4 linked regions of the Saccharomyces cerevisiae S288C genome follow. Each later gene encodes a partner of the first gene's protein in a complex. Each region holds a gene or a part of one and is shown in the gene's direction. Other genes may lie near its edges.

Region 1 (3,047 bases):
GGTCTTTGTCAACTGTAAATTTTTGAGCTGTTTCTCCAGCACCGGACCTTTGAAAGTCGTCTGGAAGGGCACGTTGATGGCGCTGTCCAGGAGCGTGGGGCGAGGATCAAAACTCACGTCCCCAAAAAACGACACATACTTGCTAGCATCCTTTCGGTGGAACCTCGACCGAGACTTGCTCTTCAGGTGTGAAAGGTACTTTTGCATGTGGGCGTCCACAGGGTACTCCTCCTCCTGCTCCTGCTTCCCTGCCACACGTTCCGCCTCAGTCGACTCCACTCCTTCAGTCGACTCCACTGGCTCCACCAGCGACGTGGTAGACGACCGTGGCGAAACCTCCATGGACTCCTGTGGCAGGATCACGTTATCGTACGTGACCGAATGCCGTTTGTTGGCTTCTGCGGAATTGAGTCTGCGGATCTTAAGAAACTCTTCGTCTTGCAACAAATCCTTAGTCTCCGTCATTCTTGCAATCTGTTTTGGCGCTCTTGCTGCAAGCCGTGCTGAACAACCACCTGCGTGAGTGTGCCAATGGCGCCCCTTTCCTCCACCACGCTCGTCCTTCTTATATCATCCGCATGTTGCCAGGGTCTGCTGGGTGCTATTGTTCGCTAAACGAGTCCAACCACGGCCGGGTATTTGATGGCCAAGCCAGATTTTTTTTTTTTTTTCACTCTACACCATCTCACATTTTTCAATTTTATCGATAAAAAGAAGAGATGAGCAGCACATACATAGTGTGATAAAGAGGAAAAAAGCAGAAGAAGCAGAAGAAGAAGAGCATAGTAAAAAAGTAGTGCTAAAAAGGTGCGGTACGGAAACACAGGAAATATATCAGAGAAGAAATAATGTCACGTCCTGAGGAGTTGGCACCACCGGAGATTTTCTATAATGATAGCGAAGCACACAAGTACACGGGTTCGACCAGAGTGCAGCATATCCAGGCGAAGATGACGCTGAGGGCGTTGGAGCTTTTGAATCTGCAGCCGTGCAGTTTCATTCTGGATATCGGGTGCGGGTCCGGACTGTCTGGGGAGATTTTGACGCAGGAGGGAGACCATGTGTGGTGTGGTTTGGATATATCGCCCAGCATGCTTGCGACCGGTCTTAGTAGAGAGCTGGAGGGCGACTTGATGTTGCAGGATATGGGCACCGGGATACCGTTCCGGGCGGGCTCGTTTGACGCGGCTATTAGTATCAGTGCGATCCAATGGCTGTGCAATGCGGACACTTCATACAACGATCCTAAACAGCGGTTGATGAGGTTTTTCAACACATTGTATGCTGCACTGAAGAAGGGAGGGAAATTTGTGGCCCAGTTCTACCCGAAAAACGACGACCAGGTGGACGACATACTGCAGTCTGCCAAGGTGGCAGGGTTCAGTGGCGGGCTTGTGGTGGACGACCCAGAGTCTAAAAAGAATAAGAAGTACTACCTTGTGTTGAGCAGTGGGGCCCCACCGCAGGGGGAGGAGCAGGTGAATTTGGACGGTGTGACCATGGACGAGGAGAACGTCAACTTGAAGAAACAACTGCGCCAGCGCTTGAAGGGAGGCAAAGACAAGGAGTCTGCCAAGAGTTTCATTCTAAGAAAGAAGGAGCTCATGAAAAGACGTGGGAGGAAAGTTGCGAAGGACTCCAAGTTCACCGGGAGGAAAAGAAGACACAGGTTCTAGAAGAAACACACATCCTCACACGCATATTCTTTTGTATACTATAAAAATACACACTTATACATTTCCCTCTGTCTCTGTCTCCTTCTACATGTATACTTGTATATGTATACTTGTATATATACACTTATATCTGTATGTGAGTGGTCAATGGCTCCGCGCACTTTTATGTAGTGATGTATTTTCCTTTTTTTCTTGGTTTTCAATTTTGGTGCTTTGGAACTCCCAGTAAAGAAGAAGAAGAAGAATCGAGTCTTCCCTCTGAGCAGCTGCTGAAAGGGAGAGAGAACCATAGCGATGTGGAGCAGGAACGTCAGATTGCTTGGATCATGGACAAGGTCCTACATGGTCCCCGCCACCAAGAGAAAAACCATCCCCGTGTACCCACCTGTGCAGCGCATAGCTTCGTCGCAGATTATGAAGCAGGTGGCCCTCTCAGAAATAGAGTCTCTGGATCCCGGGGCCGTTAAGAGGAAGCTCATCAGTAAAAAGAACAAGGACCGCTTGAAGGCAGGCGACGTGGTCCGGATTGTGTACGACTCGTCCAAGTGCTCGTACGACACCTTTGTTGGCTACATCCTTTCCATAGACCGCAAACAACTGGTGCAAGACGCCTCGTTGCTGTTGCGGAACCAGATAGCCAAGACGGCCGTCGAGATTAGAGTGCCATTGTTTTCGCCGCTGATCGAGAGAATCGACTTGCTAACCCCCCACGTCTCGAGCAGACAAAGAAACAAACACTACTACATCAGAGGTACAAGGTTGGATGTCGGCGACCTCGAGGCAGGTCTAAGAAGAAAGAAATAGGCTAGGCGCGGGTTCTGTGGCCACCCATCTCCTGTATATAAGAAAAATAGTGCGTGTATAAAATCTACGTATACTAACTATGGGTAAAGTAAACCTTTTTGTACTGTTTTCTTTTTTTTTTTTTTGGTTTCCCGTAGTGATGACGTACGTGTATAGAGAATTGAAGCGAAAATAAAAAAAACGACACAAAATATTGTTCTCATTGGCTTTTTTATTTTCTATTTTACACAGCATATAGAGGTATACTCAAGTGCTAGACATCCTCTAACATCCGCCAAGAAAAACAGCAAAAAAACACTGGTCATGAAGCCACAGTGCATACTCATCTCTTTGCTGGTCAACCTCGCATACGCAGAGGAGTATTTGGTGAGGTTCAAAAATCCCACAGCATTCCAACAATTCACTTCGAATTCCAACAGGTCATGGAGACAGTTCATCGACAACAAAATTGAGAAGAAATTCTCCATCGGATCCTTCCGCGGCGTGACCATGAACCTGTCCAAGAACTTAGTGAACAAGCTGAAGAAAAGCCCACTGGTGGCTGATATTGTGCCCAACTTCAGGTTC
Region 2 (2,997 bases), on another chromosome or scaffold:
ATGACTTCAATGGTGACCTTGTGGAATATAACAAATATTTGGAAGAGGTGGAAGACATTATATACAAACTAGATCACGGGATCGATGTGGCTAAGACCGAGGAGAAACTACGCACCTACGAGGAATTAAACAAGCAACTGATTATGAATAACTTGGAGAGAAGCAGAACAGAGATAGAAAGTTTCGAACAGAGACAAAAATTCGAAAAGGAGATGAAATTGAAGAAGCGACTGTTGGAAAGACAAATCGAAGAGGAGGAAAGAATGAACAAAGAGTGGACAAAGAAAGAAATCGTCAACCGGTTGAGTACGACCACCCAGGATATCAATGAAACAATCGAAGGCGTTAAAAATACGGTTAAATTGAAAAAATCGTCCGCTAGAAGGAAATTGGAAGAACTAAATAGAGTTCTGAAAAACAATCCATATTTCAATTCAAATGTGAACGTACAGAATTCGAGACTCAAAGATGCTGTACCGTTCACGCCGTTTAACGGTGATAGAGAAGCACACCCAAGGTTTACGTTGAAAGGTTCAGTATACAATGACCCATTCATCAAAGATCTTGAGCACAGGAAAGAATTTATTGCGTCTGGGTTCAACACTAATTATGCGTACGAAAGGGTGTTGACAGAGGCATTTATGGGCTTAGGATGTGTTATATCCGAGGAGCTTTAAAACATCAGGATAGTGTGCAACGTGGCATAAGCTATGTAATCAACTACTTTTTATTTTCTATGTACGCATATACATGCATTCACGATCTGTTTCAGTGTTCAGAAAAAAGGCACCTACTGCTACGGTTGGCCCATACCTTTATTCTTTGTTCTTGTTACAAACGAGTGTGTAATTACCCAAAAAGGAAATTTACATGTTAAATGAAACCCAGTAATCAGAAAAAACAGTTAAGAAACCTAAAATGGTAGAGATAAAGATACAGATTCAGTGGTTGCTGAAAATCAAGTAAAAAAATGAAATAGAGTCTTCATATATAAACCGCCAGAAATGAATTAATGAGAGGGATCTGTAACTGTTTCTCGGATAAAACCAAAATAAGTACAAAGCCATCGAATAGAAATGCAACCATCTACCGCTACCGCCGCTCCAAAAGAAAAGACCAGCAGTGAAAAGAAGGACAACTATATTATCAAAGGTGTCTTCTGGGACCCAGCATGTGTTATTGCTTAGTTTCTGCGTACAAAAACGTTGTTCTCCCTCCTTTATCTTCCTTTTCCGCTACACCAATATATCATGTTTGTTCGTAATATTTCTTTTTAGACCTAATAATAAATATCCTAAGTAACTATATTATATAAAATATTTTGATACCCTGTACCTGCTTTTGTTATCGTTGTACATCCATGCACACGCTCATATATATATATATATATATATATATGTATATGTACATATACCGCTTACCACCTACCGTGAAGTATATGTAAGGGTCTTCGCACCCGGATATCCCTTGTGGGATCTTGGATGCGGATGGTGAGTGTAAACAGGCCTCATAAAGCTGTCTCTGTGTGCGGAAGATGTCGTTTCATCGGCTTCGACCTCCTCCTTATCTTGCTTCATTGTTTCTTCGTAAGAGGGCGGATCTACGGGCAGCGGGGTCGCTGTCTCCTTGTATGCATGCTTATTTATATCACTCTTTCCGCTATCCATCATAATCTGTTTTTGTTTATGTGCTTTGAATACTCAACACATAAAATAATATCCAGTTAATTGTCGTCTGTCCATTGACGCTTTGCCTTTGTCCCTTTAGACTGTCTTTATTGTGAAATATGCACGGCTGAGAATTACGTATACAGTGACTATCGTATGGGGCGACAAAAGTTCCCAGCGAGAAACAAGATGAAGCAGACTGGGGCCTGCCTGTATGGAGGGAAGCATAAGTTAATATACCTCCAGATATTTGCAGATTAGGATACTGAACTGACGAAGACCTACGCTACACAACGAAGATAACACATGCTGGCACAAACATTCAAAAAACCACACAGAGCCGTTCTAGAACAGGTATCTGGGACCACGGTCTTCATCAGAAATAAGAGAACAAAGAGCAAGAGCTCACTGTCACCTTTGGCACAAAGGGTCGTCACGCAGTTGAGTGTGATGTCTGCAAGCAGAAAGCAGCCCAAGTTGCTGAAGCTGGCGCGTGAAGACCTGATTAAACATCAGACCATTGAGAAGTGTTGGTCAATTTATCAGCAGCAACAACGGGAGCGCAGAAATTTACAGTTGGAATTACAATATAAGAGCATTGAGAGATCTATGAACCTTCTACAAGAACTCAGCCCTCGTCTGTTTGAGGCTGCCAATGCTTCCGAGAAGGGCAAGCGATTCCCGATGGAAATGAAGGTGCCCACTGACTTCCCCCCAAATACGTTATGGCATTATAACTTCCGAAAATGATAGCGTGAGCGAACGCTTGACTGTCTCCTGCTGTAAATAACTGATGATCAATAGAATGCCACGTATATATGGACTTATATAATTATATGTACATAGACATATAAAGGGCATGTGGTAATTATGACATGAACTGTATCACTATTGACGTTTTTTTTACTGCTTTTTCCCATCCCTGCAAGCGAAAAAAAAAGCAAGCTGACTCTTGTATAAACTGCAAGGACTCATTGATTAAAAGTAGATTTACATTACAGACTAAAGGAAAAGGCAAACTATACCGGCTATACCACATTCGTTCAAAAATGCCCTCTACCACGCTACTGTTTCCGCAGAAACATATTAGGGCCATTCCAGGCAAGATATACGCGTTCTTCAGAGAGCTCGTCAGCGGAGTTATTATATCCAAGCCAGATCTAAGTCATCATTATTCTTGTGAAAATGCGACAAAGGAGGAAGGCAAAGATGCAGCAGATGAAGAAAAGACTACCACAAGTTTGTTTCCCGAATCAAATAATATAGACCGTTCTTTAAATGGTGGCTGCTCTGTGATCCCTTGCTCCATGGATGTCAGCGATTTGAACAC
Region 3 (2,549 bases), on another chromosome or scaffold:
AAGCATAAATTAAGTAAAGCCACGAATCCTCTTTTGAAAAGCAGGTTCATAGATAGCATTAAAAAGCTCGAGAAGGAGGCTGAACTAAAACGTAAGCAGTTACAACAAACCGAAGATTCTGTCCAGAAACAACATCAACATCGCTCTGACGCAGAAACTGCAAATAACGTCGAGGAAGAAGAAGAGGAAGAGGAAGAAGAAGAGGAAGAGGATGAAGTGGACGAAGACGAGGAGGATGACGAAGAAAACGATGAGGACGAGGATAATGTGCATGAACGGGAACACATACAAGAGAACAAGGTGGTGCGCGAACTTGATGAAGCCCCCGCAGAGGAAACACTCGACCAGAACGATCTCGATATGATGATGCTATTTGGTGCAGAGGGTGATGAGTAAGTTCTCTTTATCATCTATATATTACTCTTATACACTATACGACTCTACTCTATGACGTATAGCATTGATATATATTAAGGCACGACACCGATTTTTCTTATCGGAGCGATATAAAAAGCTGAAGAAAGGAGGATAGATGAAACAGCATGGCGCATAGAAAGTGTTCAAGCTCACTAGTAAAGGCGGGAAATAGAACATTGAGAACGTATTTTGATAATGTCCCAAGGTAGAAAAGCTGCAGAAAGATTGGCTAAGAAGACTGTCCTCATTACAGGTGCATCTGCTGGTATTGGTAAGGCGACCGCATTAGAGTACTTGGAGGCATCCAATGGTGATATGAAACTGATCTTGGCTGCTAGAAGATTAGAAAAGCTCGAGGAATTGAAGAAGACCATTGATCAAGAGTTTCCAAACGCAAAAGTTCATGTGGCCCAGCTGGATATCACTCAAGCAGAAAAAATCAAGCCCTTCATTGAAAACTTGCCACAAGAGTTCAAGGATATTGACATTCTGGTGAACAATGCCGGAAAGGCTCTTGGCAGTGACCGTGTGGGCCAGATCGCAACGGAGGATATCCAGGACGTGTTTGACACCAACGTCACGGCTTTAATCAATATCACACAAGCTGTACTGCCCATATTCCAAGCCAAGAATTCAGGAGATATTGTAAATTTGGGTTCAATCGCTGGCAGAGACGCATACCCAACAGGTTCTATCTATTGTGCCTCTAAGTTTGCCGTGGGGGCGTTCACTGATAGTTTGAGAAAGGAGCTCATCAACACTAAAATTAGAGTCATTCTAATTGCACCAGGGCTAGTCGAGACTGAATTTTCACTAGTTAGATACAGAGGTAACGAGGAACAAGCCAAGAATGTTTACAAGGATACTACCCCATTGATGGCTGATGACGTGGCTGATCTGATCGTCTATGCAACTTCCAGAAAACAAAATACTGTAATTGCAGACACTTTAATCTTTCCAACAAACCAAGCGTCACCTCATCATATCTTCCGTGGATAAACCTAGCTAAACTAAGTAAATCTGTATACTTTTTATACATGTAAGACTTTTTAGCTATTTCATTCTTCCCTGAACCGTTTTGCGCGATTCTACGGAATATACCGGCGAAATAAAAGAGATAAACTTATGGATCCTCAAATAGAGGATGAACAGATGTGAAGAAGAAACGAGCTTAATTATATCTTCGCCATGATAACTAAATACTTCAGTAAGGTAATTGTCAGGTTTAATCCCTTTGGCAAGGAAGGTATGTATTTTTTTTCGCTCTGTTATTCGTTCTCCTTACCTTTGGCCATCATGATTTAAAGATTTGGCTAAACTAGGCTGAGGTAGGCTCGAACCGATCTATCACAAATACTAACAGCAAATGATATGGTCATATCATTGATTTCAGCGAAAGTTGCTAGGTTAGTACTTGCTGCCATTCCACCAACGCAACGAAACATGGGCACGCAGATTCAATCGGAAATTATCTCAGATTACAATAAAGTCAAGCCTCTTGTGAAAGTAACCTACAAGGACAAAAAAGAAATGGAAGTCGATCCATCAAACATGAACTTTCAGGAATTAGCCAATCATTTCGACCGTCACTCGAAACAGCTGGATCTCAAACATATGTTGGAAATGCATTGAGAAAATAAAGGCATCTACAAATCTCATTGTAGGCATGCACGTTTCTAATATTCTAACAAAAACAAAGTCAGAGTTCACAAGCAAGCCTGTAAATAATATATATGCAATTACACAAACGTATAGATAGATATACCCAACCAAACTGACTTAAGGTTTAAATAGTATGGCCAATCGAATAGAACCCAAACATTATAGCCATATTAAATTACTCTTTACGCTTGTAAGGAAGACAATGTGGAAACAACATTAAGAGAATGCAGACAATTGACGCAAGTTGTACCTGCTCAGATCCGATAAAACTCGACTATGGACTATCCTGATCCAGACACAATAAGGATTTTAATTACTACAGATAATCATGTGGGTTACAACGAAAATGATCCCATTACTGGCGATGATTCTTGGAAAACTTTCCATGAAGTCATGATGCTGGCCAAAAATAACAACGTAGACATGGTTGTACAGTCCGGTGATCTTTTTCACGTGAATAAGCCTTCCAA
Region 4 (2,655 bases), on another chromosome or scaffold:
CTTTAAGCAATAAGAAAGTTTCACGTATATTATTGAATAATACATTAATCATATTGTATATCGGTGGTTGTACAAGGAAAGAGCGAGCCTGCACAAAATGTATGTTGATCCGATGAACAACAATGAAATCAGGAAATTAAGCATTACTGCCAAGACAGAAACAACTCCAGATAACGTTGGACAAGACATTCCTGTAAACGCACATTCGGTGCATGAGGAATGTTCTTCCAACACACCCGTGGAGATAAATGGAAGAAACAGCGGAAAGTTGAAAGAAGAAGCGTCTGCAGGTATTTGTTTGGTTAAAAAACCAATGCTACAATATAGAGATACCTCAGGAAAGTATTCCCTAAGTGACTTTCAGATTTTAAGAACTTTGGGAACTGGCTCATTTGGGAGAGTTCACCTAATTCGTTCCAATCACAATGGGAGGTTTTACGCTTTGAAGACATTGAAAAAGCACACTATAGTGAAGCTGAAGCAGGTTGAACACACCAATGACGAACGCCGAATGCTTTCAATTGTTTCACATCCATTCATCATTCGAATGTGGGGAACGTTCCAAGATTCTCAGCAAGTTTTCATGGTAATGGACTACATTGAAGGTGGTGAATTATTTTCTTTACTACGTAAATCTCAAAGATTTCCCAACCCAGTAGCCAAATTTTATGCCGCAGAGGTATGCTTAGCGTTGGAATATTTGCACAGTAAGGATATAATATATAGAGACTTGAAACCAGAAAATATCCTTCTAGATAAAAACGGCCATATCAAGATAACCGACTTTGGCTTCGCAAAATACGTTCCCGATGTCACATACACATTATGTGGCACACCAGATTACATAGCGCCGGAAGTGGTCAGTACAAAACCGTATAATAAATCAGTGGATTGGTGGAGTTTTGGTGTGCTAATCTATGAAATGCTTGCCGGATACACTCCATTTTACAATTCGAACACCATGAAAACTTACGAAAATATACTGAACGCCGAATTGAAGTTCCCACCATTTTTCCATCCAGACGCGCAGGACTTATTGAAGAAGCTAATTACCAGAGACTTAAGTGAAAGGTTGGGTAACTTACAAAATGGAAGTGAAGATGTCAAGAACCATCCGTGGTTTAACGAAGTGATATGGGAGAAATTGTTAGCAAGATACATAGAAACGCCGTACGAACCACCAATCCAACAGGGCCAAGGTGACACTTCTCAATTTGACAGATACCCTGAAGAGGAATTCAACTATGGAATTCAAGGGGAGGATCCATATATGGATTTAATGAAAGAATTTTAAGGAGGTTCAGTGGGATAATTGTAATTGAAAAAAAAAAAAAATCAATAAAAGTAAAAACAAGAACAAGAAAAAGCACAAACAAACCTGGTTATAGATTCTTGGTGAGTCTAACAGGGCCATGATAAAAAAGTGACACATGCATATATGTACATGTATATATCTACGTACGTCTATTCAATAGAGGTGTATACAGATAAATAAAGGAGCATTCATATACGCCATATTGTGACTACATTTGCGTCCTCAGAAGACTGGGACGTTCAAAGTGATCTAGGACTTTTCACCCAGGGAAAACAGGATATCTGTAAGAATCGGCCATAAAACTCATTAATAGAAGAACAGTATAACATAAGTGAGCCTGCTACAATAAGAAGATGTCTAAGGTTGCACAACAGTTAAAATTTTTGAATAAAATTAGCGCCACTACCAGACTACCGCAGATTCTAGTCGATCCTAAAAAATACTCAGGTCTTAGATTGACTTTTCAAACGAAAAACCACAATGGACATATGGGTGCCAGAGTTTTTTGGCATAACTACCTACCCACTTTGCAGTTCTATAATCCAAGAATGAAGTTTGACGTGATAAGGATAAAGAACGAAGACAAGCAAAAAAGCGTTCCATGCAAACTGGAGATTTTATCTCATGAAGGCTCCGTTGTAGAGACTATTGATATGCGTAATAAAATGCATGAAGATATAATGAAAGACTTACTTGACAAAATAGAGCACGTTCCTCTTCCTGAAAATGAGATCATAAGAGTTGGACCGCAAGAAAGTATTATATAAGCTTTCTCTCGATAAGTTTGTTCATGTATATATCAAAAAACATTGCCCTTCATGGAAATATGTAAATTCAAAACTCACTTATGGGGCATATAAGTATATAATTTAGAGTACAATAAGTAGGATTGTGCTGAATATTGTCAGCCCTTGGGTCCCTTTTTTTGCCCTCCGCGTATTTCTTGTGGAAAATAAGGAAATTTCATTTTCACTTCAACTAGCTAGTTTAATTGCATGATGGACTCAAAAACATTGACAGCATCAATGGTAATGCAGGAGGAGAAGAAGCGGCAACAACCTGTGACAAGAAGAGTAAGGTCATTTTCTGAGTCCTTTAAAAACCTTTTCAGGCCGCCTCGTTCAAGAGATTCAAGTCCTATTAATGTCACCCGAATTCCTTATCGATCGTCTTCTACCTCACCCAAGAGAAGCTCTGAGCCACCAAGACGATCAACCGTATCCGCACAAATTTTAGATCCAAAAAATTCTCCAATACGCCAGCGTAGTTATACATTGAAGTGTTGCACCCCGGGCCTGTCACATCCATTTAGACAGACAGGAAGTGGTGCTAGTAATAGT

Evidence for each region.
Region 2: IMG1 (region 1) and MRPL28 share a complex: the UniProt entries of both Saccharomyces cerevisiae proteins name them as parts of the mitochondrial large ribosomal subunit.
Region 3: IMG1 (region 1) and MRPL44 share a complex: the UniProt entries of both Saccharomyces cerevisiae proteins name them as parts of the mitochondrial large ribosomal subunit.
Region 4: IMG1 (region 1) and MRP49 share a complex: the UniProt entries of both Saccharomyces cerevisiae proteins name them as parts of the mitochondrial large ribosomal subunit.

Annotation. Positions count from the first base shown.
Region 1 is NC_001135.5:209,347-212,393, reverse strand, and holds IMG1 (mitochondrial 54S ribosomal protein bL19m IMG1), read left to right. Parts: upstream 1-1,970; coding exon 1,971-2,480; downstream 2,481-3,047. Other genes in the region: ARE1 (sterol acyltransferase), read right to left, coding at 1-465; BUD23 (18S rRNA (guanine1575-N7)-methyltransferase), read left to right, coding at 849-1,676; RRT12 (Rrt12p), read left to right, coding at 2,784-3,047. UniProt on the Saccharomyces cerevisiae protein: Component of the mitochondrial ribosome (mitoribosome), a dedicated translation machinery responsible for the synthesis of mitochondrial genome-encoded proteins, including at least some of the essential transmembrane subunits of the mitochondrial respiratory chain.
Region 2 is NC_001136.10:1,384,100-1,387,096, forward strand, and holds MRPL28 (mitochondrial 54S ribosomal protein mL40 MRPL28), read left to right. Parts: upstream 1-1,973; coding exon 1,974-2,417; downstream 2,418-2,997. Other genes in the region: TFIIH/NER complex subunit TFB3, read left to right, coding at 1-677; MFA1 (mating pheromone a), read left to right, coding at 1,077-1,187; CMI8 (Cmi8p), read right to left, coding at 1,425-1,667; STP1 (Stp1p), read left to right, coding at 2,717-2,997. UniProt on the Saccharomyces cerevisiae protein: Component of the mitochondrial ribosome (mitoribosome), a dedicated translation machinery responsible for the synthesis of mitochondrial genome-encoded proteins, including at least some of the essential transmembrane subunits of the mitochondrial respiratory chain.
Region 3 is NC_001145.3:720,460-723,008, reverse strand, and holds MRPL44 (mitochondrial 54S ribosomal protein mL53 MRPL44), read left to right. Parts: upstream 1-1,605; coding exon 1,606-1,663; intron 1,664-1,810; coding exon 1,811-2,049; downstream 2,050-2,549. Other genes in the region: TATA-binding protein-associated factor TAF7, read left to right, coding at 1-396; ORA1 (oxidoreductase), read left to right, coding at 613-1,416; MRE11 (MRX complex nuclease subunit), read left to right, coding at 2,356-2,549. UniProt on the Saccharomyces cerevisiae protein: Component of the mitochondrial ribosome (mitoribosome), a dedicated translation machinery responsible for the synthesis of mitochondrial genome-encoded proteins, including at least some of the essential transmembrane subunits of the mitochondrial respiratory chain.
Region 4 is NC_001143.9:133,148-135,802, reverse strand, and holds MRP49 (mitochondrial 54S ribosomal protein mL61 MRP49), read left to right. Parts: upstream 1-1,668; coding exon 1,669-2,082; downstream 2,083-2,655. Other genes in the region: cAMP-dependent protein kinase catalytic subunit TPK3, read left to right, coding at 98-1,294; putative serine/threonine protein kinase KKQ8, read left to right, coding at 2,341-2,655. UniProt on the Saccharomyces cerevisiae protein: Component of the mitochondrial ribosome (mitoribosome), a dedicated translation machinery responsible for the synthesis of mitochondrial genome-encoded proteins, including at least some of the essential transmembrane subunits of the mitochondrial respiratory chain.